Sus scrofa: one gene and its partners. The protein of the gene in region 3 interacts with the protein of the main gene of each other region in a pairwise test. Links are inferred from orthologs where the notes say so. Each region holds a gene or a part of one and is shown on either strand. Other genes may lie near its edges. The genes, in order: CCDC102B, HMBOX1, FAM161A, MIPOL1, VPS52, CADPS and SSX2IP.

Region 1 (4,019 bases), on a different chromosome or scaffold from region 3:
TTGAGTCTCTCCATAATTTTAAGGTGTGGTCACTAGGCATCCATTCATATCACACCATCAAAGAGAAACAAAGGGATCCAGTATGTTCCCAATATCACTTCCAGTCACTTCACATATTTTATTTGTGAATAAGTAATATTAGATGAAAATCAGAGATGCAACTTCCTTTCAGAAATCAAAATATATATTTTTGAATGTGAATAAAACATTCAAGAAAATGAAAAAAAGAGGAAAGCATAAGAATTGAATATGAGAACAGCCAATTAAATGTAAACACTGCTTATTTTCAGTATCTATTCCTTCTTTCTATTACCAAAGGCAAGAATGGACCATCTGAGGGAACTGTGATCAGTTTAGGTTTACAAATGCTGGAACCAATCTGCCTACTTTCTCACAACCTCCTCCCTGCACTCTGTTACCCCAATGCCCATTCCAAACCATCCTGCTAACTCCTACCAGATTCACATTCTTAAAATACCAGTGCAACATAGTGGAACAGCTCTGAAGCCAGAAAGACATTGTTTGGAATCCTGGCTCCACTTACTATATCTGTGGCTTTCAAGAAATCATTTGACATTTTTGAACATCAGAGCCCTTCATGTGTAAAATAAAGATAACATGTGAGATGAAGTTAATTTGATCACACATCTATCAAAATGGTATGTAAATTATCTTGTACACAGAAGTACAACTACGTGCTGGCAGTATTGCCAATGATGAAGAAGAAGATGATGAAGAAAGAGGAGGAGGAGTAAAAATACTCCATCTCCTCAGAAACTTGCATTTGCCCCAATTGTATACAGACAAAATTAATCTATATGAGTTTTAAGATGCGCCACAACTCTATCCAGCTCTATATTTGAACACAATGTCTGCTCCTCACAAAGTGTACTTTTTTCTGCTCCAATAAGGTGGATTATTCATCCCTACTCTTCCTGGTTTAGATTAATTTAGCCTCAAAACCCTTTGCTTCAACTACTTCTACAAAGTAGAAGAGTCTTTTTGCTTTTCAGCAACTATCTAAATTCCTCTAATTTTTTAAGTCTCAACTTACATAGCCAGACTTTTCTTTCAAGGCTTCTCTAAAATCTTACTAAAAAGGAAATTTTGAAGGTTTTGGCAATAGGACAGAATTCAACTGCCCCTGTAATATAAGCATGGGAGATATACTTCTTCTTCAAATGGAAATGGCCTAAGATCACTTTCTAGTTTAAATAATTATTGTCATTATATGTGTGGCTCCAATAATTAGATGGAACCCTCACAAATTTCAAGGCCACACCCATGTGAGGTACCTGGAAGTTATGTCCCAGAGATCAAGCAAATACTGAATACAATCAAAACAAATGAAGAGTGCAAAGGAGAGACTACTAAATGATATTTAACACACAAGAAAAATATTTTTTAAAGGTTTGGGGAAAAAAGGAATTCATATAAAACATTCTCCTAAAGATTCAAGTAGACATTGATATTTTAAATCAATGTTGCAAAATCACACAAAGCTCGTACAGGTATTGTATCACTAATTTTTCAAGATTCACTTCCATATTAAGTAAAAATATGGAGAAAAGTTAGAAATTAAAGACCATTTAATTTCTGTGTTAGGATATTTGACAATAAAATGATGAACAGCAAAAAAATTAAAAGTTGTAGCAATACCCTATCCCATAAAAATATTAGCAAAAGAGTATTCAGATAATTTTAGAAAATAGGAAAACTAATGTTTACGTAAATGAGAATATCAAGAAATATATCTGAATATTTCAATGCCGTATGTAACATGTTCTAATTGTATTTTTGAAGGATATCTCTCTTATATTTCTATTTAACAGATTTACCCACTCAACATTCATTTCATAATTTATCTTTGCAGAAAACATAAACAATACTGCCAATGGTTTCCAGAGATTTTTTTTCTTCAATTCTGTAATTACTTTCTCTAGAGTTAAATGCCTATTTCATTTTATTATGTGAAAGCTTTTAGTATTTTATGCTATGTATTTCTCCACACCCAGATAACTTATATCAAGAAATCAAGATTAGGGCTGAGTTGGAAGTATAGTTTTTTGTGAACAGTGATAGAAACTCAGCATGCAGACTAGCAAAATGAGAACTCTAAATGAATGAGGAATAAACTTGAGGATTTGCATAACAATTCTATTTTATTTTTACTCTAAGAATATAGATTACTTCAAACACAATGACTAAATCATATTAGTTTGGAGCAACAAAATAAGTTTTATTACCAACATATCATATTACTGTCTAAATTTAGAGTTGAAAATCTTACCTTTGTTAGTATACAGTTATTAAAAAAAAAAAAAGGAAATGTCTGACAAGCTGTTAGGATAAATAATACCAACGTGGAAAATGGAAGAGGGATGGAAGAAATCAAGTCCACTTTAAGAAGAAACTCTAAATCCCTGTTTCTCAGACCTACAGTAGTTTTGTTCTGCATCTTATAAGCAACTGTCTTTCTCTTTGCTCTGAGAATACCGCACACTCGGCCCCACCAGGAAAATATAAAAATTAAACAGAAAACCACAAGGTTATTAAGCATCTTACCCTCTGGGCTTGCTGGGCTGCTCTAGCGGCTCAGTGTTACAGACACATGTGTAAACAACAGAGTTTCCTGCATCCTTTTTTCATCTGTATGGCTCTGGGGTCCTGGCCAACAGGATTATTTCCAGCATTAAGGCTACTCCACACTAACTTGAAAAAGATTCCCATTGGCTGTGAAGTTTTATCAAAACCAATACAACAACACCCTTTGTGGATCACAAGTGAACTATCCAAAATGAAATCATTTTACTATTCCCTAACTCATGGATATGGCTATTCAATGGTCTCTACACAAATTATTTCAAACTGTGCTGTGAGTGAAAAAGGAAGAAACCACCCACCCTTTCATCCACCAGTGTATTTGTTTAATAACTTGTATATAGTAATAGAAAAAATATTTGTATAACTTGCAATAGTAATAGAAAAAATAAAGTGGCAAAGCCAAAGTACTAATAATGTGGAGTCCCCTTGTGACACAGCAGGTTAAGGATCTGGCCTTGTCACTGCAGTGGCTCAGGTCATTTCCATAGCAAGGTTCGATCCCTAGCCTGGGAACTTGTATGTGCCATGGGCCAAAAAAAAAAAAAAAGAGAAGAAAAAGCCAATCAAATCATAACATATCTATCTACAATAGATTTAAAGAAAAATTATGCTGCAGATTACAGGAACAATAGGAAATATCACTGGTCCAAAATGATTTTTATTAGATTGCCCCCAAAAGAAAAAGAAAAAATATTTAATAAACTTTCAGTATAGAAATCAAGACACAAAAACTATACATTGAAATCTTTGTTTCCAGTCATTTTGGGAAAATTATGAGCTGCATTCTCTGGGGCTGCCAAGAGAGCTCTCTAGGGCCCCCAAAAGAGGTCTCTGGCTCCTGTCCCTGGCAGGGGGAGGGGGAGGGGGGGAACCAGAGTGACTTTGCAGTGACTTGATGCAGCTGTCAGGAGGCATAATGATGAATGGTGATGTCACACCACATAAAAGAGAGCTTCTCCAGTTGAAACAGAATAGAACACCCAAGAAAAAGAGGACAGGGCAAAAGAAACTAGATCACTGTATCCTTATAAATAGCATGAAAATAGCAACATTGGGGAGTTAATATCTTCAAGTTATTTTATTTTTATTCCGTTCTTATTTTGGAGGAGTGTTCTTAGCTGAATAACCTACTCATCATCTATTTCTGCTTAACAGCATCCTTTCCTCCTTACTTCCTGGTGCAATGGAGAGGGTGACCATCTTCCACAGAACGTAAACTAAGCCTTTGAGGTTTCCTTTCGTTCTGTCTTTTCAGGAAATGTGCTCCATCACCATACTCTCTTCGCTTTCACTGAGCTCTCCCTTTTGTCTGGATTTTTCACCATGAGATTGTAAATATCAATTCTTCAGTCAGTTTCAGTTATGCCAATGACTTTCCCTTTTAGTTCAGTCATTTTCACTTGCAGGTACCATTC
Region 2 (3,590 bases), on a different chromosome or scaffold from region 3:
GAACCACCACAGACTCCTTCCTGCGGTTCCTACTGAACCCAAGGCAATGCTACCTGCACCGGCAGACCTGCCCTTTCACGTTCCCAGATTTCCAGGTAGGACCTGGTACTCCCCTTATGGACACTCACTCTCTCTTATTCTCTGAAGCTTCCTTTCCTTCCTTAAAGGTCTGGAAACAATGAAACCTTTTAGCTCTTCTCTGGCAATCACTGTATTTCTTTAGAAACCGCAGCTGCCTTAACAGTTAAGAGTCTGCTTCTTTACAAGGACCAGCAAGAACAAATGATACTAGCCATCCCATCATAAAGAAGCTATCAATTATAATAATCTCCTTACAATAAATCATGGATGTGGCTTGTCAGACAGTGTATTTTTCCCTCTCCTTTTCTTTCTGATTCAACTGAGAATAAGCAGACAAAATTCCACCACAATGGAAAGATATGGTATATTTTCTCTAAATAATATAAAAGGAAAGAAAGATAACAATCTCCTAATTGAAATAAAAAGTCAAACGCACCAAGCAAGAAAATGAGTGGGGGGATCATTCCTGAGAATAACGAATGCTACTCTTGAATTTGTTGGTTCAAGTAATATAGTAAAACAGAAAAGACTGCTCCATTTTACTTCAATTCTTGAAAGCTGGAAAAAAATATGTACATTTTCCCCCTGAAATCCATGGACAGGAGCAGGCCCAGGTCCTGCCTATAACTCTATATAAAGTCACAGACCCATATAAGGTGGCATTTTCATGCCTCTCAAAGGCTTCCTTACACTGACGTAAGCAGGATTAACAGACGCGGAGACGAGCTCATCAGCATATGCCTTACGTGGAGGAGTGAGACCAGCGAGAAGCTGGCGGATATTCAGTATCTCACTAATGAGGAAGGAAAAAAAACAAAGAAGGTCAGTCATTCTCTCTCTCTCTCTCTCTCAATGGTTTTAAGTTGAAAATATCTGGTGGGGGAAGAAGGGTGAAGAGGTAAGGAAATGGCACCCTCCTTCAATCTCAGAAATCATTTTCAGGTAATGGATAAACAGACAAAGCCCTGCTTAATAGCCAGCCCCATATTCCCCTTTAAACAAGGCTTCTCTGTACATAGGAAGGAGAGATGGAGCGAGGCAGGAAATATAGAGCAGTTGTGCCTCTTTCAGACGCACCCTACGCTGCCACACTGAAGGCTGTTTCCTCTTACCCACAGTGACAGCACGTCCTTTAATCGAGATGCCAAGAGATCATTTTCATCCAAGGCCAGCAGATGTAATTTTCTTTGATGCATGAATAGTTCATCATTTTGCTACTAGATGACAAGGTGATCACAGGGTGACTTTATAACCCAAGTTCACTGTTTGGTATTTTGAATTCTCAAAATGAAAAAAAGATTTATCAAATATAAATATCTTTAAAAAGTAACAAAAGTGCTACATATGTGATCAAGGAAAAAAATTCCATTAGTTACTGCTGCTTAAAGTAGATTAAACTTTACAAATATTACCACATCCATTATCAATATGGCTTCCAATTATTAAATAAATTGCCTGTAGCAATATAGCTTTTCACACCTCTCCAAGGACAGAGTAAAGAGAACACCAAAGCAGTCACATCCTGTTGTATCTCGCAGACCCACCACATAAGTGGCAAACGTCCCCTGCTTTTTTCTGCTGCTATTTAGGTAAGTATTTGCATTTGTGATAGTCAGTCAGCATAATCCCACTATAAAGTCTTCTAATAACCTCTCATGTGGAGGGGGCTTCGGTTAATGGATACAAAGACTGGAAGTTCGTTCACTTACTTATGACCTTAGCTCCATCCTTGAAAGAGCTTTTTTTGGTAGCAGGGAAAGGGGACACAGACAGGAGGCAAAGCAGCTTCCGTGACGACCTCCAGCACCTTTCCAGGCAGGCACGTAGCTGTGCCACATACTGTATAGTGGTTCTGAGAACTGGACTTAAAATCCATTAGACATTCAGCTCATGGTTTTTTGTTTTTTTTTTTTTTTCCAATGCTCTCAAGCTGGGTTTTCTGTTTTGTTTTTTTTTAATGACTTTTTTTTTTTTTTTGTCATTTTTCTGTTTGTTTTAATCATGGTCCCAAAGGAGAAGGCAGTATTTTATCTAAGTCACACAGCTTGTGAGAGGAAAGGATGTCTGTGTCAGGCATGTTAACATCAACCAAAATCTGAGATCGAGTTTTTCCACTGACATTCTTAGCACAGCACCCAAAGAAGTATAATCTAGCCACAGTGTGACTATTATGAGGCACGGCTTATTGCAGCTGGAAATCAATTACTCCCACGCTGAGGAGGGATTCTAGTGTTCCTTTTACTCTGCGGATACTCCCCAAATGGTGTCTGTCAATCCTGGGCCACACTACCTCAGCTTGCATCCTACCAGTCTTGGGGAAGGAAAAGGGGTACAAACTAGTGTTACAGGAATCTAAAGGTACCCAAGGTTTTACACGTAGCCTAATATTTGAAAACTGAGGGCTATCTAAATACCTGGAAGCACTTTCCTGGAATGCTAAGACAGAGCAGCAAGATTTTTCTAGCCTCAGGGGCTGGGAGAGGGAAGTTTGGTTGGTTGGTTGGTTATTATTTACTGGAATTAATACTGAGAGTATATGCAAAGGCTGAGGGCACCATGCCATCTTCACAGAACAAGACCCTAACGGCTAACTGACATACAAGAAACTGCAAGTTATACTGTAAGAACACATGTTAAGGACCGAGGAAAGTCTGCTAAGGTGCTACGTCTAAACTAAGTTAACTTCTCGTGTTCACCCTCTCTGATCAGTCGTCATCCAGAGCCTCTGTCTTGATTTCGTTGGCTCCTTGTCGGGCCAATGCCAAGATAGTGTGGTTGACTGCTGCCATTTCCACAGCTAATGAGATGGGGTCCTGGTGGTCACTATGGCTAGTGCTGTCATCCTAGATGTGCAGAAATAAGAAACAACTGTTATTAATGGATTGGTAAAATTCTCTAGCTTATAGAAAGGCATGCTGGGGCAAGGGGAGGCAGAACATTTATGGGAGGAAACAGAGTTGGAGATGGGGCATGACAGAAGAGAGGTGAAATGTATTTAAGTAGACACTGAATGGATTTAAGTCCAGAGACTTCCGGTTGGCATTTTTATGATTCAATAAATAAAAAGCATTCAAATAGTTTTTTTCCTGCTGAGGATTTTATTTCTTCTATCAGAAAGATTGCTGGTGGTGATGATCAAACCTGGATCAGTCTATGTTTGAAATACAGCACTAGTTACTGAAGGCCAAACTAGTGAGCTATTAAATTCCAGATTGGTACTTGTATTACAAAAAGATTATTAGAATTCATGTCCTCTCTCTACTCAACTGAGAAAACGAGACAAAACTATGGACACCAACATCTTAGGGATAAAAATGCATTTTTGTAAAAAAACAAAACCCCCAAACTCTCAATTACATCAGGACAAAAGTGCGACTGGCAGAAATGGCTAGGGGAGAATACGTGTGGCAGTCTCCTGCTGTAAGGCAGCTGCACAAGGGAAGCACAGGCGTCTTACTTGGAGGGAGTGTGAAGCTTGCCTTCCGCATCACCCGAGGTGTTAAACAATA
Region 3 (4,096 bases):
TCCAATTCAACCCCCAGCCTGGGAACATCCATATGACACATGTGTGGCCTTAAAAAAAAAAAAAAAAAAAAATCAAGGCAGGGGAGTTCCCTGGTGGCCTACCAGGTTAAGAACCCAGCATTGTCACTGTTGTCACTGCTGTAGCGCAGTTTTGCTCCCTGGTCTGGGTACTTATATGTGCCACCAGTGCAGCCAAAAAATAAGATAAATTAAAAAAAAAAAAATCAAGGTGGAAACCCAACCCAAACTGTGAAGAAGGCAAAGCTTGGCTCCTGTACTTTCATTCCTGCCTTTTCAGTGCTTTGCTCACCAACCCCAGTGCCCCCTGACTATGAGGCCTATTACTGTGGCAGCTTGTTCAGATTTGCTTTGGGATCCTTCAAGTATGGTGGTCTCAGAACAGTGTCAGACTTGTAACTTAGCTTCCTTCTTTTCTGTTTTTTTTTTTTTTCAGTAGGATCCTGTCCCTTGCAAACTAGCTCATTAGATAAACAAACTAATCTTTCCTCAGGTGATAAGTTTGTAATACAAATTTGCAATTTATCAGGGCACTCTGGAAGTATACCTGCAACTGTAGAAATGACTGACTCCGCTACCACAGCAAGCCAATGCAGAATCTTTGGAAGAATTGTTCAAATGACAGTCCCACTGGCAGTTGTTATTATTAATTTACACAAACTATCCTTTAGTTATGACATACATTCTCTCATTTGGTTCTCATAACAGTCCAGTGAGACAAGAAAGAGACAGTTATTATAGTTCTTTTACAGATAAGGAAACTGAGATTGAAGGAAGTTACATCTTAATATCAACTGGCCAATCTTCTTGGATAAACCATAATGGAAAAGAATATTTAAAAAAGAATATATTGGAGTTTGTGTTGTGGCACAGTAGGTTAAGAACCCGACTACTATCTATGAGGACAGGTTTAATCCCTGGCCTCACTCAGTGAGTTAAGGATCCAGTGTTGCCGCAAGATGCAGTTTAGGTCGCAGACACGGCTTGGATCTGGTGTTGCTGTGCTGTGGCTGGCAACTGCAGCTCCGATTTGACCCCTAGCCTGGGAACTTCCATATGCCACGGGTTCAGCCCTAGGAAAATTAATTTTTTAAAAAAGAATGTATATGTGTATAACTAAGTCACTTTACTATACAACAGAAATGAGCACAATACTGTAAATCAAATATACTTAAAAAAAAAATCAACTAGCAAATGAAAAGATCCGAACCCAGGACTCCAAATCCTTTTTCTCTATCCATATGGAGTCCTTTCCCTTCGTGACTTTGTCTCCTTTGTTGGCTACTGAAATTTGTGTTGAGGGAAAGCGTTACTGTGAGTGAATTTGGTACTAGGTCGCTTGGCCTGGTTCACCTTCATGGTCTCAATCTGCATTACTCTGGATAACCTCAAGTAGTTTATCTGTTGGTAAATACTACCTATAAAAAGTGTTGCTACAGATTTTCTCATTAACAGTGTGGATTAAAGAGATTAGAAATCCAAAATATCCAGTGATTTCTATCAGCCCTAGACCACAACATTTTGAATCTGAAAAAGTTTGGACAAAACGTATTAAAAATCTTATGGAGCTCTCTTGTGACAGTGGATTATGGATCTCCAGTCATCACTGCTATGGCAGGGGTTTGATTCCTTGGCCTGAGAACTTTCTCATGCCTTGGGTGCAGCAAAAAAAAAAAAAAAAAAAAATCTTTAACTGGGTTTAAGGAGGTTTATATATGCAGATTGCTAGGTAAAATTCAAGATTCCCACCTTTTAAGTGAATAGAGCAGATGGCAGACTTGACCTGGTGGACAGGGGTTCACAACACATTTGACACTGAAAATTGATCAGTGAAAAGACTGTCTCACCCTACCCTGAGGAACCATAATTTATTGGAACCTCAGTACTTCGCTTCTCTGGAGGCTTAACTATATCTGTGTCTGATCGACCCACTAAACTCTGGATGGTTTTAAAAACCATCTCTCATGTATTGTATTAAGATGCACTAATAACCAGGACATCAAGGTGACAACAAAACACACCTGACAGCACAGCTGATTTCCTTCCGTTTTATAGGTTATCCTCTATGAGATCGATTTTCAAGTTGAAAAGAAAAAAAAAAAAAAGAAAAGCTGTATCTACCCCCAACAGACGATGGAGCATAAGGAGTAAAGTTCTGTACTTTGCACTCTCTAGAAATAGAGAAACGTAAATCTCCAAGAAAATTTTGCATCTCTGGCTAAAATTAAAAGACTTTTCAACGCTTCGATTTTGAGCATTTTCTGTGGGAGGAGAGAGAACGCAGTGGGCCAGGCTCACCAGGTTAGGGAGGATCCGAATAGTGCGCGCATTTCCCAGCCAGCGCCTCACCACTGGGGTCGCAGACCAGCCTCCAGCTGCACCCCGCCTGAGCCCAGCCCCAGCCCACGTCCCGCCCCTGCATTACCGGCGCCCGCGCCGGCCGCTCTGCCTTCTCCTCCTCTTCCTTCTCCTTTTCTTCTTCCTCCTCCTCCTCCAAGGCCGCCGTGGCCGCAGACAGGGACTCTAAGGGGTCTTTACGTTCGTACTGGGCAATCTGCGCTCCGGTGTTGGGACTGACCGGGGTTTGGAGACTGCCAGCCGCCAGCTTCGCAGTTTGGTGCGAGGCGGCCATTACCGCGCCTCCGAGGCCTTAGCGCCCGCGCTGGCCTGGGGCGGGGAAGCCGGCGGCTCCTGGCTTGGAGTGGTGGTTACTAGGGGCCTGGTAACTAGGGACGCTACAGGGGCCGCGAGCGACCAAACGTCACTCAAAACCCGCGCACGCTTCGGGAAACCCCGGAGCCTCCTGGATAGTGGGAATCAGGACTGAGTCTTTGCTGGCGTAGAGCGTTGGCGGACGGAACAAGGCACCTCTTTCCCTTTGCGCTTCGCCGCCTAAACGCAGACTTCTCACATTATACTAATGAGTTACTCTTTTATGGGGGGAGCGCATTTTTATTCATTGAAATAACATGTTAGGAGGAAACGGCGGTGGCACAGGAAAACTGGGGATGTTACTGTGTTGCGGCCTCAGGCCTGTGGCAAGGTTTGCACCCCGCTAGCTAACATGGCTCCCGCGAGGTGGAGCGGGTGAATGGAAGGGAGTGCCTCACATTCTACTCTGATTGACTTGAGAGCTGGCAGAAGTCAACGAATCCGGCTAGCGATACTTTCCGCCTGACCAATGAAAGCCCAGAGTTGGGTAGAACCTCGCCAGTGAGTGACAGTGCGGGTGTATGAACCCAGTGTTTGCTGCTTGGGTTCATTAGCTTTATAGTGGTGGGGTCCAAGTGTGCAAGCTCCCAGCGATAACAACAGACAAGCCTCTTCTCCACCACTCCCGCATCAACTTTTCCCACCTGGAATTTGGGTGCTTCGCAGGCGCCTTCGCTCTACACCCCTCGCAGGTAAGAGGGGCCTAGCCTTAAAATAGCGAGCATGTTGCAGTCTCAGCTACCTAAGCCCCTACTTCCTGAGACTGAGGCTGCAGCAACCTCCCCAGCCCTATCCTTCCGCCTCCTCCCAGGCCTGGCCCTTCAACCTGCCGCACCACTACAAAGTTAAGTATGCGGCGCTCCATATCTGGAACCTCTGAGATCTGAGCCCATCATACCAAGCCTTTCTTGTTCGCCTGGTCTAGAGCGTGAGCACCTGCAAAATTCCCAACCCCCTCACCGTCTTCGGGCTGCTTTTTGTTTTGGCTGAGCATTTGCTTCGAACACTGGAACAGATTCTGGCTGGATTCTGAGCAGAAGCCAGAGCTGGAAGCCCTTGAAGTATGGATGCCCCAAGTGACCAAAGAAGGGACTTCTAGTTCTTTGCATGCAGCTAATCCTGTGGCTGCACGCGCCCCTCTTAGAATTTGCTAGGATTTATTGTAAGCCTGGCCCCAAATCAGCAACGCAGATCTACATGCTAAAGCACTGAAAACGGGAGATTAGGCTAGGCTAGGTTAGAATACAATAGGAGGAGTAAGTGTGGAGAAACACATTGTATGTGTATGTGAAAGACAGAAAACCTTCCATTTACCAGCAGTATTCTAAATTTGCAGGTATCTAATAATATAGCCTCAAAATATATA
Region 4 (3,590 bases), on a different chromosome or scaffold from region 3:
TAGCATTTTAGGATTCTATTTGTCTGCATTTTCTTCTGCATTCATTTAGTCTTAATTTATATGCTGTTTCTCTGTGTGACTTAATGAGCACATGTATTTGGCATAAGATTCATTAACAAAAAGAAAATATATCTGAATACATATTATTTCTGTGCCGCCTGAGTAGTGATTTTAACTTCATTTATATCTCAACTGTGACAAGTAGAAAATGCCCTGTATAAGGCTGATCAGTATTTGTACAAACCTCATTCATTCTCATTAAGTGTTCAGCCAAATAGACCCTGGATCTACTAAACTGATGCCTGTTCTCTTACTTCTCACTTCTTTGCAGTCAGCTTATTATATTCTTTTATTTACCTAGAGATACTTTATTTTGTAATTCTTTGCTATTACTTTTAAAGAAAATTGAATGTAATATTTACACTGATATAATTAACATCTTGCAGCAACTTTGTGTAGGCTTTGATAGCAAAGCTAATCATTTGTCTGGGTAGCTTTCAGCCTAAAAGCAGAGAAATGGATAATTATCAAGCGTAATATTGTCATACAAAAATTATTTTCATTTGCCCATTTAAGTATGTCTTTATTGATTTTTAGAAGTGGATGTTTCTAACTGGAGATTTTTGTCAAATAGTTATTGGTCAGTCAGCCTCCCTATTTATGTTTACATTATTTATTTTTATATTTTCTCAGTTTACACAAATCCTTATCCCAAGAAGAAAGTCTGAAGGATCAGTTTAACCATACCCTTAGTACCTATGAAGAAGCTTTGAAAAACAGAGAGAACATTGTTTCCATCACTCAACAACAAAATGACGAACTATCTATCCAACTGCAGCAAGCTCTGACAGATCGAGCAAACATGGAATTAGAGCTTCAGCACACCGTGGAGGCCTCCCGAGCAGCCAATGACAAAGTTCAGAAGTAAGTGAAATGACCTTGCATAATTTCAAAAGCATGAAACAAAAAAGAACAAAAGTGCTATCTTTTAGCAACTAAATCATATATTATTTATTATGCATACTGTTAATAGTTGAAGACAAAAGTAGATTGAGCCAGATGAACTTTTTTAGAGTGCCTGTCATATCCATATTTGGGGTCAAAAGTCATTTACTTGGGAATCACAGGTACTATTTAGGATAAACATCTTTATTTAATAAGTGATCTTCATGAGTTCATTCAGGCCATATGATTAAAATTGTTTCATGAGAAATAGGTAGTTATTAGCAATGGGAAGAGGCAGTCAAGTTGCCAGCTTTCCTCATTTAGCTTCACAATAATCCTGCTTGGGTTGAGATCATCTATGACCTTTCAGTCTGAGACCTCTAGCTCATAGAATCCAGGACAGTGAAATTAATTTTCTTATGTTCCTCTTCTGAAGAATTCAATACAGCTTTTCAAAGTATGTGATTATAGTTGTTTATTTTCAGTAATCTTTGTGTCTTTATTAAAGCTTCAGTAAAGCTGCATAATCATAAGTCTTTAATGATAGCCAGCAAAACATTAACATAACTTATCAAAGAAGTCATTTGTTAATTTATGGGACTCGAATACTCTAGCAAAATTTTCTAAGGCAGCTTTAATATAAAAGAACTTGTAATTTTAATTGAGTGCTTCTTTACTTATTAACAGCATTTTGTCATTCACACACATAATCACATTCAATTTCTAAGACATACTTTTTTCCTTAAGTTTTTTTCAGTTTTATAGTATGAAGAAGTTCTTACTTCTCACTACTTTTTATTGAAAATAAGTCATCTCAAGCATTCCCGCAGGATCCTTGAAATTATATTTTGATTAATAGCCCAAGATCAGGTAAATATATAATTGAGACTGTTTTAAACCAGATTAGGAATTATGCATATTAATCTTTATTATCAATGTATGTACCTTGAAACTTATGATTTATGGTATTATGTTTTTTATAGGTTTTTATAAAAGGAGTTCTCTTATAGCAGTTTAAAGATCCAGTATTGTCACTGCAATGGCCTGGGTTGCTGCTACGGCATGGGTTTGATCCCTGGCCCAGGAATTTCCATGTGCTGCAGGCACAGCCCCCCAAAAAATAATAATAAAAATTCTAAAATTAAAAAAAGTAAACATTAAATTTATATTCAGTCAGAAACTATATCAAGTTATTCACAATGTATATTAACATTCTACGAACACCAAGATATATATATATAGGTAGAGCTCATTTCATTGTAAACTATAGATCAGTAACTTTTGACAGTTAAGATCTGATTTAGCTCTATTTGCTTTAAGACTACAAATACTTAAAAATTTCAACTTTTTTTATATGTAATCCTTTAATTTCTCTACATAACTAAAACTCCCTAAAACAGTGTTTCCCAGAGAGCAATTAGATTTCTAAAAAAAAATATTTATAAATGTTGTCAACTTTTTTTTGTCTCATCAGCTATCAGTTTTATTTTGTGAAAGATATAACTTTACACCCCAAGAAATAAAAATAACATTTTCTCAGATAATACTTTAAATAAGTTTAACCTTTTGAAAAACTCACTATACTGTTCTTATTTTTCACATTTAACAACAGACAAATCAAGACTTTTTTCATGGAAATGGCATGGACAATCCATGGACAGAGTTTAAGTGCAACAATTAATGTCTTTTCTTAGAATTAAATGTTAAGTTTTAATTTAAATGTTAAATCTTTTATTCTGATTTCTGGCAGTCAGACCTAGATGAAAGATTACCAGTAATTGGGAGTTCCCATTGTGGCGCAGTGGTTAACGAATCCAACTAGGGACCATGGGGTTGCAGGTTCAATCCCTGCCCTTGCTCAGTGGGTTAAGAGTTCGGCATTGCTGTGAGCTGTGGTGTAGATTGCAGACGCGGCTTGGATCCCTTGTTGCTGTGGCTCTGGCATAGGCCGGTGGCTACAGCTCCGATTGGACCCCTAGCCTGGGAATCTCCATATGCCGTGAGAGCGGCCCTAGAAAAGGCAAAAAGACAAAAAATAAAATAAAATAAAGATTACCAGTAATTGCCTAAGTATTAAATTCAACACTCCACTTCTAATTATACTCTATTATAAAACTATATATGATCATGGTAAAATAAGATGCTTGTGTATCTTCAGCAGTATACCATGGTAATTTAAAAGCTCAGTCTCTGGATTCACAATGCATAAGTGTGTGAACTTAGACATTTTAAAACACTGTGCTGATGTGGACAATAGTATGTGGACAGTAATACTCCTATCTCCTAATGTTGTAAGAATTAGATGAGATTGTACATGTGATGCTTTGAGAGTAGTGTGTGTTGCATAGGCCCTCCTTCTCTTATTACTTCTCTCATATGCACTATCTCATTCCTCAGAAGGGCACTCACTACCTTCGAGGCTAAATGCCTTTATATACATTAATCTCTCTGCTTGGAGCCTTTTGCCCTTTCCCCTCATGATAAACATATTCATCCTATGAGATGCACTGCAGCATAGAAGATAGAGGCAAGCTTCGTCGTCAATCAGCCAGACCTATGTTTGAATCTCTGCTTTCTTGTTATCTCTGAGATTTAGGACAAATTTCTTATCCCCTAGAAGCAAAAGTTTTTCAGTTAAAATATTT
Region 5 (4,241 bases), on a different chromosome or scaffold from region 3:
CTCCTTGGACCAGCAGGACCTCTCCTTCTCTCTTAGCTGATGGAGGGCAGCTGTGGCGGGGCTGTCAGCACCATGCCCCACAAAATACTCCTTTTTTTTTTCTTCTTTTTTAGGGCCGCACCCACAGCATATGGAAGTTCCCAGGCTAGGGGTAGAGTCGGAGCTACAGCTGCCGGCCACAGCCACAGAAACACCAGATCCAAATTGCATTTTCGACCTAGGCCACAGCTCACAGCAACACTGGATCCTTTTTTTTTTTTTTTTTTTTTTTGGTCTTTTTGCTACTTCTTTGGGCCGCTTCCGCAGCATATGGAGGTTCCCAGGTTAGGGGTCTAATCGGAGCTGTAGCCGCTGGCCTACGCCAGAGCCACAGCAATGCGGGATCCAAGCCGCATCTGCAACCTACACCACAGCCCATGGCAACGCTGGATCGTTAACCCACTGAGCAAGGGCAGGGACCAAACCCGCAACCTCATGGTTCCTAGTCAGATTCGTTAACCACTGCGCCACAACGGGAACTCCAACACTGGATCCTTAACCCACTAAACGAGGCCAGGGAGTGAACCCGAATCTTCAAGGACACTATGTTAGGTCCTTAACCCACTGAGCCACAATGGGAACTCCCAAACGCCCGTTTTAGTAACACCACCCTTCCCTCTGCCAGAGGATACAATCACGAATGGATTTCTGCTCAATCTGCTGTAGCTCCAGTTCAACCTGCTTTGAATAGTGACGGAGATCCACACCCTGGAAGAGCATAAACACGATGGGTTGGGGGGGGCAGTCAGAGAAGGGACACTGCAACAAAGTCAACAAAGGATTTGGGGAGAAGACATTAAGATATTACACGAAGAGACTGTTTTCTTCTTTGAGGGGAGGGTGAGTGGAGGGGCAGATTAGGAGAGCAGAAAACCTCACCGTTTTAAGAGCTTCCTTTACTAACTCATCCTCCAGATTTGCCTGAATGTGAACTGGAAAGAGAAGTTTATCATAAGGGTCCAAAGGGCTCCACAGCGCCCGCTACCCACATCCGAACATCTGCACACCAATTCCTGCCTTATTACCTCCAGCCCCCATGCCTCTTAAGATGACAGGCACTGCGGCCACCTCGTGCCATCACTTACCATCAACTTCATCCAGGATGAATTCATCAGAGGTGAGGTCCAACTCTCCAAGTTGCAGTGGCTCCTGGAGACCTGGACCACCCCCCTGGAGAGGGGCAGGTTAATGGGAAAGGGAGGGGGAGAACAAAATATAATGGGGAGAGAGGACTTTCACTGGGAAACCAGAGAGAAATGCTGAGTCCAAAAAATTCCAAAATCTCATATTGTCCCAATCTACTCATTGGGGCTGATGGGTAGGGAATATGACAAGGAGCCAGCAAACCCACAGAGGTGACCAAATGAGGAAAATTAGGAGATGCAGGGACAGAGCAGAACTTGCAGTTGAACTTAGGGTCTCCAGACTCCTTCTATCTTAGATGTTCTGTTACAATCCCCGTGGGGAGCTCCAGCCTTTCTAGAAATGTCAGTTAACACAGTGTTCACCATCGTGCCAGGTGTCATCCTACATTCACCTAATCCTAACCGACAACCTCTACAGTAAGTCTTATTTTTTCACTTTATAAGTGTTAAGAGTGATGACACAGAGAGGCTAGTTAACTTGCCCAAACACACACAGCATAAGTGGCTGAGCTGGAATTAGAACCGAGGCAGTCTGGCCATGTTCCTAGCATTTACTCTACACCGCTTCTCTATCCTGCGCAAATATCTGGAGTTTAACTGAAACTGTGGCCCCAGAACCTAAGTATCAGCCATTCTAGTCCCCACTTTGGTCCAGGTCCGATCCGGGGAGGGGTATGGAGAGCCAGACCAGGCAGCATCACCGGTAGCAGCCGAGCTCCCAACCTTGCGCGAAACCCAGCCCAGACCTTTCTGACGTGAGAAGACCGGACGAGACTCTGGAGGAGAAACAGCCCTGCGTCCTCACCAGTGGGCCCTCCTCCTCCTCCATATCTGAGGCCCCGGACCGCAACACCAGCTCCCGGGCGGCTGCCGCCATGGTAGCAGCGGCAGCCATTCCGCGCAGCCCCACTTCCGGCAGCTGTCGGGCAGGTCCGTTCCCCTGAGTGGAACTGCAAGTTCTGGGGCGTGATGCACGAAACCGTTCCCAGATATTTGAGTTAAACAGACTGCCTCTAGCTCTCCCCTTTTCTCTAAGCTCTTCGCCCAAGTCCAAATGGAAACTGAAAGTCTTAAAAAGAGAATCTCAACCCGGAACTCTCGTGGCTCTCACGCGCAAAAACTTTACGATCTGTAAAGAGAGACGGCACCGGAAGTTGTGGCGCGCAGTTCTGACTCAGAGGCCTAGCCGGCTCAGGTACAAGGAGTTTCCGGAAGCGCTTCGCCAAGGTCGCTCCGCCTCTTCCGCCTGGAAGCTATATAAGAATGTCACGTCACTTCCGCTCTCTCTTCCACTGGAGGCCTACACGCCGCCGCCCGCGCTGCAGCCATGGTAAGAGTTGGGTTCGTTCGGGTATCTGGCGACATCGGAGCCGGGACAGGGAAGGCTTGCTGTCAGAGCGCCGAAAATGTCCTGGCCTGGGGGCTCGCAGCGTTTTGTGTGGAGCCTTGGGCCTCATTCCTGGAGAAGGACGACAAAGCACCCAGTTCTAGGCAGCGGGGCCCGAGGATGAGCGCTCCCCGGGCTCTGGGAAGGCTTGGGAGCGCGTGGGCCCTCCGTCCCGCCGCTTGGGAGCGGGCAGGAGGCGTTCTCCTCCGGAGATGGCGTTCTCCGATCCTGGACGCTTCCTGTTGTGCTGTCGGCAGGACCAGGGAGTCGTGTTGTGTCGTGAAGACCTGACGGGGGCTCTTTGCACCTTGCGTGACAAGCTTCACGCTCGTGTTTGGGGTTAACGGTTTGGCGGGAATTAGCGAAGTCTGACATCTCCCCCCATCTCTATCAGTCTCTAGTAATCCCTGAGAAGTTCCAGCACATTTTGCGAGTACTCAACACCAACATCGATGGGCGGCGGAAAATTGCCTTTGCTATCACTGCGATTAAGGTAAAGGAGCTGGGGGTGTGAAGGAAACTTGGGTAAACACCTGAGGTGTAAGCGAAAGTCTCAACCGTGTCACCTGGGCTGCTGGGTAAAAACAATGGTCAGGGTCCATCTAAGCCCTTGCCACATTTGCCGCAAAAGGTAAGTGGTAAAAGCCAAAGAACCGTCTTAGGTGAAGCAAAGTTGTTTTCACCTAGGGGTTGGGGAAAGGCTTTGGTTGTCTGCCAGCATTTGTTCACTAAACCGGCCTGGACCATCAGCAGTCAACTTATAAGGTCCCTGCTATATAGGTTTTTGCTCCTCCTAGTGCATCATAAGAGCAATTCTTGTGAAATGTGTATGTCCTGGAAATGGGATAATGGTACACTCTGAAGGGAGAGTAGAAAGGCCAAGAGATTCCAAGCATGAAGAAACCAGGAAATGGGGGGGGGGTCACTATTTCATAACAAGGTCAGTGAGCACAGGCTTAACTAACATAAAAAAATGACCTTACCAGTATGTTTATGTTATGTGGTGCCAGGGCTAAGCCTTTCTTGCTCACAATCCCCAAAGGACACCACAGTAAGTATTTTATAGATAGGTTGTTAATTTAAAATGGTGAATCACAAGCTTTGCTTTATAAGAGCCATCATGTTTACTTTGAATTCTTTTCATTCTGTAATTCAGGGTGCACAACTTTCGGTCTTAAGTGGTGCATGAGGAGACTGCTTCCTTCTATTGTGAAACTAGTAAGGCGGTGCACAGTAGAGGCTTATTTTATTGCACTTTACAGATAACCTCTTTTTTGTGGCAACCCTGTCTTGAGCAAATCATTTTTCCAACAGCATTTGTTCACTTGGTGTCTTCTGTCACATTTTGGTGATTCTCACAATATTTCAGACATTTTCATTGTTATATTTGTTACAGCGATCCATTGTCATTGACTTTTGTTACTATTGCACAAAGGCTCAGATGATGGTTAGCACTTTTTAATAAAGTATCTTTTCATTAAGGCATGTATGTATGTTTTTTTAACGTTAAGACTATTGCTCACTTAATAACCTACATAACTTACATGCACTGGGAAAACAAACAGATTTTGTGTAGCTCCCTTTATTGCAACATTCACTTTTCCGAGTGGTGTAGAACTGAGCCCTGAGTATCTCCACACGTTGGTTGTCTGTTCCCTTTTTAGGGGTTG
Region 6 (4,365 bases), on a different chromosome or scaffold from region 3:
TATAGGAAAACCTAACACTCTACTACACACAACATATAATTCAGCCTTAAATGACAACAACGGAGAAATTCACTAGTTTAAAAAACTGGTCTTCCAACCTTGATGGGGCTACCGCTGGCTTTAACCGCCCCTCTAGGGGTTTAACTAGCGTTTCTGATACTTCAGCTGCTTCAGATTCATCTAAAAGAGACAGAACAGTTTCTTCACTAACTTACTGCAGCTGGGTAGCTGACCGCTTCTAGTCGGTTCGCCGCCACTGGCCCTCAACCTGCAGTAACTAACAACTCCTTTCTCTGGCTGGAGAACAACTGATAGAAATATGCACTTTTGTTCCCATGAAAGGTAGCCCGAAACCGCCTCAGCCTTGCCCTAGCTTCAGACACAAAAAGCTTTTGATGCTTGTAATTGCGAGGCTTTTTGCTGCTGCACTTTTTCAAGCTAGCAGCGGCAGGGCTTGGAGAGCATCGGAGAGCCAGAAGGTGGCGGCGAAGTCACCTTGGGATGAAGAGAAAAGGGTCAAAGGGAGGAAGGCAGTGGGAGCTGACCCCGGCTGAAGGACCAGAGGGTGCGCCCCAGCTCTGGGGTTCGGGAGCAGGAGCAAGGGAGTGGCGCGAAGCCTGGCCAGGGGGAAGCGGGGTCCAGGGACCCCGAGGCAACCCTAGTTGGCAATCAGCTGACCCGGGCGGAGGTAGGAGGGTGCCCTTCGCAGAGTCAAGGGAAGCTTCGCCTTCCGGGCTCGTTTTCTCCCGCCTGCCCCTGCGGTTGCTCTCCGCCCGGGTTTGCAGGAGCGCGGCTCGGAGGCGCTCTCCTCGCTCCTCACCGGAGCCCCCACCTGCCAGGCGCCCCCGCCCGCTTGCCCAGCGCACGCCCAGGAGGGCGGGCCCGGAGCTGAGCGCAGCCGCCCGCCGCTGAAGAGTGCTGGGAGCCGGGCAAGCGAGCCAGGCCTCTCACGGAGCCGGGGCTGCTAGTCACTCCCCGAGCCTAGGGGGTCACAAAGCCGGACTTGCTCGCCTCGCTCACTGGCAGGGCCCAGGCTATGCGCTCCCGGCCCCTTGCTGGTCCGGGGCAGCTCCTGGCTTGCTCCAGGCTCGGGGCTCGGCCTCGGGGAGGTACCCTCTTAGCTCCTTCCCCAGGGCGCGGTCTCTTACTCGCCAGCTGCGCCGCCAGCTCCCATTGTTCGCCCCGCCCGCCTGGCGACGTCCCGGAGCTGCTCCCTCGGCCTCCCCGGCGCACCTACCTTCTGCTGCCTCCGAGCCATGTCGGTGGGCTGCTTGGCGTTGAAGGGGTAGGCGATGCAGCGCATCACGAACACATAGAGCTGCAGCCTCTTCTTCCTTTCCTCCTCCTCCTTCTGCAGCCGCTCCAACTCCTCCTTCTCCTTCTCGCTTACCACCGACGGGCTGGGGCTGGAGGGCCGGCCGACACCTGCACGGCTACTAGGTTGCAGCCCCCCGGCCCCGCCGCCGCTGCTCGCGCCGCTGCCCCCGCCGCCGCCGGCGCCCACCCCGGCCCCGGCGCCGGCACCGCCGCCGCTCCCCAGCCCGGCGCCGCCGCCCGAGCCCTCGCTGGTGCGACTGGGAGACAGGCGAGCCCCGGACGCGGCCGAGCCGAGCACCTCCTTGCCGCTTTCCTCTTCCACGATCTCATCCGATTCCTCTTCGCTGGAAGAAGGGTCTAGCATGGTGGCGCCTGGGGAGAGGGGTCCTTGGAACCCCTGGCTTGGGGTGCAAAAGGTGGGGGGCGCTGGAGGCGGCTGGGGGTCGGCTCTCCGGGATGGGCGCTTCTCCCCAAATCAGGGAGCGAGCGCGCTGATGCTCAGCCTCGGCCGCCGCTCGACTGCTTCCTCCGCCTGATGATCGCCAGCTGGGCTCAGACCCAGGAGCACGAGGGGAGGAGGGGAAGCGAGAGTTGCGTCCGTGGACCCGAGGTGGGCAAGGGAAAGAGTCAGTTGCGAGCTCCGAGCCCTCAGCCGGATGCCATCTGCAGCCGCTGAAGGAGGCGCCTCCAGAAAAGATGCCGAGTGTTGCAAGCTGTCGATGCAGCCTAGAGCCGAAGAGGCATCTTGCCGATTGGGGAGGGAGCGGCGCTTACGTGTTTATTGGCTTAACTCTCCCGTGTCCGCGGCGTAAAGGGTGGCTGCAGAGGGCTGGAGCGGGGAGAGCGCGGAGCGTCCCCAAAGTCTCAGAGCTTCCGTACTGACCCTAATGCTTTCCCGCCCTCCTCACCCCCATCCCCTCTTGGATAATTTCCTCCTTGACGCCCAGCTCTCCAGGCTTCGACCTCTCTCCCCCCTTCGCGGACAAAAAGTTTCGGGGGGTAGGAGGAAATAAACAAATCCTGTGATTACTTCTTGTCAGCGAAGAGTGGGCTATTTGAGACACTAAATTCAGAGGTCTAAGAGGAAGTCGGCGAGATCTTAGGGGAAAAAAAAACTGTTTTTTTTTTTTTTTTTTAAATCCACAGCTTTATTCATACCTGGGGCAGTGAGGCTGCGCAGCTTGTTTGTCCCACCTGTGTAAACTCTGATGCCAGCAATTTACATACGCACATTCTCATTAAAATAAAAGTGAATCAAATTTGAGCATGCAACTTAACTATTTAACTAGCAGCCCTCCCCTTGTCTACCCCGCAAAAGCTATGATGAACAATTTTCAATTCCGAGAACTAGTAATACTTTATGCTGAGGTGAGCCTACCACAGAAATAGAAGGGTTTCTGATTGCTTAGTCCTTCCTCCATTCTGGCTCGCTGGAAGATCTGGGTGGAGGAGTGGATCAGATAAAGACACCCTAAGAATTCAGGCATCAACAACTAATGCGCTGACTGTCGCACCGTTTTCCTTCCTGCCTCTGGGTTATCTATTAATTCAAAGCAGCAGATGGTGCCTTCCTTCCCCGTGCTGCTTTCACTTAAGCCAATAAACCCAGCGGTCGGGGGGAGCTAGCCAGCGTGCTGAATCTAATCAGCGACCCTCAGATGGATTGAAAATAAACCAGGACCATCCACCCTTGGGTCTTAAGCTATCTTGAGACCTCTCTTCATTTCCCCTCACCCTATCTCCCACATTTATGTATTTTCAAGGCTCTAATTATTCGTAGATACTCGTGGGAGTTATTGTTAAAGTGTAGTGTGAATTTAAAGTTTATATCACATCTGTTTTTATGTATTTTAAATTTTACCATGAGTTTTACTGTAGGCTTTGATATTCAAGAAAAGCTTTCTAGCTAGTCTGAGACTTAAAAATGAATTTAAAACAGCATCTAGTTCCACATTAATTCTAACAATCTGTTTAATTTTTAAAATTATGTAATATATGCATGGGCTCATACTTGACTTCACCACCATACTCACCTCAAGGGCAAAACTTCTGTGGTCATTATACATTCTGTATTATTTAAAATAAGTAACCCAGCAATGTGGAAATTTTTACACTTTGGCAGTTCTCACTTTTAAATTTTTCTAAAGAAGTAAAAGATGTTCAAATTATGTTGTACTGGTTTCCCCGGAAGAGGAAATATAGTAGGCCAATCACTCAATCAATCAACCTTTAGTCAGCATCTTTTTATGAAATGACTATTGTCCTAAGGATAAGTGGGAATTTTAGAAGACATTCTCTTAAAGAGTCTATAATCTCCCTTTGGAAATACAACATAAACTCATAAAAAAGATTGACAGCACTTATTTCAAGGCAATATATCAATAAATTTAACTTAGTAAACTGCTAAAAGCTTGCTCAAATGAAGCAACTGGGAATAGAAGAGAATCAAAAAAAGAGAGTTAAATTTTAAAGATAGGAAACATAAGAATAAATGGTAAAAAGGAAGATATTACAAATGGAAAAAGTGATTTGCAAAGCCATAGTGACAGGACAAGGGCCAACAAAAGTACAGAGTGCTATGGGGGGTGTGGTATGGGAGCAGGAAAGGGAAAAGTGAGGAGGAAAAAAAGTTGAAATAATCCATTTGGTCATATGGGAGGGTCATTTTTAGGACACAAAGAAACAAATCACAAATCATTAGCTATGGAGAATGGCGATTTGCTCCTGAAGACCAGACAAAGCCATTTACTAACTAGATAATGCTTCTTTAAGAAAGATAAGGCATTTAAGTATCATCATAGTAGGCACCAGTTCTGTCTTTAGAACCAATTGGAATTTTTCAATCAGTGTAAGAAAGTTTTGTTTCGGTTAGTATTTTTACAATTTTTCTGGAGTTTTGTGGGAGTTTTGCAGTTATATTCATTAAAACATAAACTTGGTATCTACCTCTCATTAATCATATAAACCTATGACTTGGGTATTATATATGACATTACTTAGATAATTCTAACCCTCTGCTCAGGAGAATACAGCCATGACTCCTTAATC
Region 7 (4,335 bases), on a different chromosome or scaffold from region 3:
TAGAGGATTCTATTCCATTATATTTCTATTGGAACATTATTCAATGACATCATTGATTAAGGTTTACAAAGCAAGGAATAAAATCTATCAGGAATCAAGCCTCCAGATTTCTTCTCCACTGAGAACACAGAAAAAGAAATTTGCCTAGTGTGAAATATAAATAATGAAATAAATGGAAATGTATAACTAGGGTAAAATTGAATTGCCAGTTGCAGAATAAAAAGATAAGAACTATTTTTTTTATTGCAACACTTCAGCCTTCTGTACTGAAATGTATATTCCCAAAAACTCTTCACATAAAAGTCTGGGTTTTAAGTAATGACAGGTAAAACTCTTTTAAAGAAAATCCAACATATTAAAATATAATCTTATAGAACGGAGATGATGATAGGAGATTGTTTTACAAAGGTGTCATTCACCATGGACATAGATTTATCATAATTTTAAACATCTAGTTTCACTAGTACATTTAGATTATGATTTGATTGCTAAATACATTATTTAGACATGACTTTTGCTGGAATATATCTATAATATAAAGCAAGTACTAGCCAGAAGACATAGTGCTAGGGCCTGAAAATTTCAAAACAGTAAGTCATTTTGTGCAAAACTGTCTTCATCAATGTATCTTAATTTTTCTGGCCTAAATTGGTAAAGAAGGAAAATATAATTTAGAAAACCATTAATATCTGAGATGCATATTTATAATTCAAAGCATAGACACGGTCCCACATTTTCCTTGCTTCCATTTAATTATTCCATTCAATCAGTCCTTTGTAAAAATCTCCTATACTTCATTTTTCACTGACTTTTTTGCTCACCAGACTGTTTCCACATGTGCCACGTGAGTATATTTGTACCAATAAAATGAAATATCACACCCTTAGGTCACTTCATGAGAGCTCTTTTTTCAATGTGCTCCCAGGATGTTTTTGGTTGGGATCATCAAACAACCTAAACCCTGAAGCTTTATTGTTTACTAAACAGAATGCCCAGGGGAAGAAAGCCCCAAGTGGGCTTGGGAGCTTAGGGACGTTACATGGACCCAGGTAGCTGATCTGGCATTTCAGCCCAGGCCATGGGACTCAAGGGCACTAGTGCACTGTACCTCTTCACAACAATGTCAGACTGTCACTATTCTGTTTTCCTGGGAAACTCTGAGTTTCTGTTGTGAGCAGGGTCTTAAATCATTCAATAAATATGCATTAAACTGTTGAGGAAATTTTCAAATAACAGCAGGGAAACTAAGACTGTGTGAAATAAATGCGTGTTTTGGTGCAGAATTATATCAGAACTATTCAAGTGAATGCTGGATCTTTGTGCTCCGTGGTTTTTAAATTTATTTCAGTATAACTAAAAAAACAGTTTGGGTCATTTATAGTCCCCATACTTCCTGGGAGGGACTTTTGTTGTCTACTCAATGCTCAGAGTTTAAATTTGCAAGCTTAGAAGAGCAGACTGAGTCTAATTGCTGGGTGAGAAGGGTTTAGAGGCCACTGTAGTCAGCAAGGTAAGTTTCTGTGTGTGTGTGTCTTAAATGTGTGTTCATTGCATTTCTTAAAGGAGGTATGCTTTTATCTTGGAAATACAGGGTTTGAGAACTACCTTGGTTGGGTACGTGATCACGTTTCTATGATAGCACCTTATTAACTGTTGGAGTGATTTCCACACAATCAAGTTTTACATGACATATTTTAAAATTAATGAATCTTGGGACAAATGGAGAGTTGGAAACCAAAGCGCTAGAGTCTGGTAAAAATCATGCGTCTCAAAAAAAACAAACCAAGACAAACAAAAACAAAACAACAACAACAAAACCTTTCCCAAAAGGTAGGGCAAAACACGCAGCAGACCAGACAAAAATCTAAAGCACTAAGAGTGGAACACCTAGAAAATGATCAGGCATTTTGTCTGCTGTTCTGTGTGTTTGTGTACGGTGTTGCGGCATGGCAGGTCAGGTAGGGCAGGGTGGCAGGGCAGGTAATGATGAGGAATGGTTTCCTTTTCTGAGAATCTTTACTTGGGTCGAGGTGGTCTGCTTTTTCTGCAAACTCAGCCAGCACTTTATAAATGGCACAGAACTGTTATTTCAAGCTGAACTACTACTGACCCAAATCCAAAGGGACTGGCTAGAAATGAATTGTCTTTGGACATGCAGCAAGATGCAGAGATTCACTCAGCTAGCTAGAAGAGCCAAGCCCAGCTAAATGTAAGACCTCCTTTCAGACCAGGAAAGAGCTAGCGATCTGGCCTCTGCCTACGGGCAGGCTTGCAGAGTGAAAATGGCCCCTAGGCCCTATCCAGGTCCCTCTCCTCCGCAGAGTGATCCCTGACCACTCCAGCCCACAGCAACGTCTCTGAAGTTTTGCTGTCCTTGGAATCGGTCCTGTACTATTTTGCCGTTAATTATGAACAGGGTTAAATTGATCTTGTGGATAAAATGAGGCCATAGGTATGAAAGTTCCCAGTACAGGGAGTTCCGTTGTGGTGCAGTGGTTAACGAATCCGACTAGGAACCATGAGGTTCCGGGTTCGATCCCTGGTCTTGCTCAGCGGGTTAAGGATCCGGCGTTGCCGTGAGCTGTGATGTAGGTCACAGACGCGGCTTGGATCCCACGTTGCTGTGGCTCTGGTGTAGGCTGGTGGCTACAGCTCCAACTGGACCCCTAGCCTGGGAACCTCCATATGCCCGGGAGCGGCTCGAGAAAAGGCAAAAAGACAAAAAAATAAATAAATAAAAAATAAAAAATTCCCAGTACAGATTCCAGCAAGATTTTGTTTATCCTCCCTGCCACCCCTGGAGAGACAGTCCTGGCCACATCAGAGAGTTAATGAAAGTGAGGCCATTAAGTAGCAGCGATTCAGTCCATCTTATCTGCTACAGCATATAGGCCCTAATAAAAAAGGTTGTTGGATTATTAACTTATTACATATATTAACATCAGAGCTTAAAATAAAAATATTTTAAAAAATATAAACTTGTAAAAATTAATGTATTACAGAAGTTAATAGAATATTAAGCTATCTTACCATTAACAGTTTGGTTAGCAACCCTGTAGTGCAGGCACAGAGGGGCTGGGACTACAGAGGCAAACATGACCAGCAAAGTCCCTACCTTCATGGGGCTTACATTCTGGTGGGAGGAGACAGACGAGCAGCAAGCAAACGATTAAACCAATAAAACCAGACCTGGAAAGGCTGCTTTACCTATAGACATGGGATCTGAATGATGAAAAAGAATCAGAGCCTTCCAGGCAGACTGAATAGCACGTTCAAAGAACCAAAGGAGAAAAAAGGGAGCTGCCATGGCTGGCACTTGTGTACAAAAGTGAGAGTTTTAAGAGGGCTATAGGCGCCAGGTCATGCATGCATGAGTGGATAGGAAGTTCAGTTTCATGCTAAACACAATGAGAGGCATGAAAGATTCTTAATTGGGAGAGGGGGCTGAGAGGGTCTGAGTTTCATTTTTGAAAGACTGATCTAATAGAGGCAAGAATGGAAGTCTGCAGAAAGTTTGGAAGGGATTCATTCACACATACACAGAAGCATATAGAGTTTTAAAATACACGTGTGCTTTTCCTGCGACTTGTTACTGGTGCATATTTTTAGAATTCTTCTTTGAAATTATGTTCACAGTCAGTTTACTGTCTTAGACATCAAACACATCTTGTTTTTTGACCTTTCCCTATCCACTCAAATGCAGTAACTTAGTTGGAAAACACAGGTTTGGCATTTTAACACAACTCCAGAATGTGTTCATCAGATTTGGCTCTGAATAACTTCTTCTCAAGGAAAGCATTCTTTTCAAAAAGTCAGTGTCTACCGATGTGATACTTTTGAGCAGCATTATGGGAACATGTATATAGGCTGCCAAGGTGATTTATTTGAAATATAAAACATCCATTAGAAGTCACATTCATTTATTTACCAAGAATTATCTGCCACTAATCACTAAGCACCAAGCACTCTTTTAGACACTGGAGATATATATATCAGTGAACAATCAGAAAAATGCTCTCTCCCTCTCTCCCTGCTTGGCTGACACTCTAGGCAAGGGAAATAGGCCAAAAAAGAAAATTAACAAAGTAAGTAAGTAAGTATTATGGTTGAAGATTATTATAAGAGCAAAGTAAGAAAGATTTAGAAAGCTGGAGGGGTGTTTTTCCAATTTTAAATAATATTTGTGAGGTTGGTCCTCACAAAGAAGGTGACTTTGGTTAGATGTGGAAGGGGAGAGATAAGTAATACAGATGTTAAGGGAAAGAACATTCAAGCAGAGGGAATAGTGCAAAGGTCCTGAGGCAGGAAAGTGACTGGGAAGAATGAGGAACAGTG

Evidence for each region.
Region 1: the proteins of FAM161A (region 3) and CCDC102B interact in binary tests that used the Homo sapiens proteins (3 or more experiments, as listed by UniProt). The two-hybrid records come from large-scale screens. The link is inferred for Sus scrofa from reciprocal best matches to the Homo sapiens genes FAM161A and CCDC102B.
Region 2: the proteins of FAM161A (region 3) and HMBOX1 interact in binary tests that used the Homo sapiens proteins (3 or more experiments, as listed by UniProt). The two-hybrid records come from large-scale screens. The link is inferred for Sus scrofa from reciprocal best matches to the Homo sapiens genes FAM161A and HMBOX1.
Region 4: the proteins of FAM161A (region 3) and MIPOL1 interact in binary tests that used the Homo sapiens proteins (3 or more experiments, as listed by UniProt). The two-hybrid records come from large-scale screens. The link is inferred for Sus scrofa from reciprocal best matches to the Homo sapiens genes FAM161A and MIPOL1.
Region 5: the proteins of FAM161A (region 3) and VPS52 interact in binary tests that used the Homo sapiens proteins (3 or more experiments, as listed by UniProt). The link is inferred for Sus scrofa from reciprocal best matches to the Homo sapiens genes FAM161A and VPS52.
Region 6: the proteins of FAM161A (region 3) and CADPS interact in a two-hybrid assay, tested with the Homo sapiens proteins (2 studies listed by BioGRID). The two-hybrid records come from large-scale screens. The link is inferred for Sus scrofa from reciprocal best matches to the Homo sapiens genes FAM161A and CADPS.
Region 7: the proteins of FAM161A (region 3) and SSX2IP interact in binary tests that used the Homo sapiens proteins (3 or more experiments, as listed by UniProt). The two-hybrid records come from large-scale screens. The link is inferred for Sus scrofa from reciprocal best matches to the Homo sapiens genes FAM161A and SSX2IP.

Annotation. Positions count from the first base shown.
Region 1 is NC_010443.5:153,930,290-153,934,308, forward strand, and holds the start of CCDC102B (coiled-coil domain-containing protein 102B), read right to left. Parts: upstream 2,808-4,019; 5' UTR 2,566-2,807; intron 1-2,565. UniProt on the Homo sapiens protein: During interphase, forms fibers at the proximal ends of centrioles to maintain centrosome cohesion. During mitosis, dissociates from the centrosome following phosphorylation to allow centrosome separation. Contributes to CROCC/rootletin filament formation.
Region 2 is NC_010456.5:12,881,030-12,884,619, reverse strand, and holds part of HMBOX1 (homeobox-containing protein 1), read right to left. Parts: intron 2,925-3,590; coding exon 2,787-2,924; 3' UTR 1-2,786. UniProt on the Homo sapiens protein: Binds directly to 5'-TTAGGG-3' repeats in telomeric DNA. Associates with the telomerase complex at sites of active telomere processing and positively regulates telomere elongation.
Region 3 is NC_010445.4:79,951,464-79,955,559, reverse strand, and holds the start of FAM161A (protein FAM161A), read right to left. Parts: upstream 2,863-4,096; 5' UTR 2,651-2,862; coding exon 2,444-2,650; intron 1-2,443. UniProt on the Homo sapiens protein: Involved in ciliogenesis.
Region 4 is NC_010449.5:62,554,997-62,558,586, reverse strand, and holds part of MIPOL1 (mirror-image polydactyly gene 1 protein), read left to right. Parts: intron 1-693; coding exon 694-924; intron 925-3,590.
Region 5 is NC_010449.5:29,636,367-29,640,607, forward strand, and holds the start of VPS52 (vacuolar protein sorting-associated protein 52 homolog), read right to left. Parts: upstream 2,803-4,241; 5' UTR 2,515-2,802; coding exon of another isoform or gene 2,512-2,514; 5' UTR 2,080-2,511; coding exon 1,990-2,079; exon of another isoform or gene 1,931-1,989; intron 1,210-1,930; coding exon 1,125-1,209; intron 972-1,124; coding exon 919-971; intron 748-918; coding exon 672-747; intron 1-671. Other genes in the region: RPS18 (40S ribosomal protein S18), read left to right, coding at 2,512-2,514, 2,966-3,064. UniProt on the Homo sapiens protein: Acts as a component of the GARP complex that is involved in retrograde transport from early and late endosomes to the trans-Golgi network (TGN).
Region 6 is NC_010455.5:44,480,002-44,484,366, forward strand, and holds the start of CADPS (calcium-dependent secretion activator 1), read right to left. Parts: upstream 2,860-4,365; 5' UTR 1,682-2,859; coding exon 1,238-1,681; intron 1-1,237.
Region 7 is NC_010448.4:129,047,697-129,052,031, forward strand, and holds the start of SSX2IP (afadin- and alpha-actinin-binding protein), read left to right. Parts: upstream 1-1,489; 5' UTR 1,490-1,510; intron 1,511-4,335. UniProt on the Homo sapiens protein: Belongs to an adhesion system, which plays a role in the organization of homotypic, interneuronal and heterotypic cell-cell adherens junctions (AJs).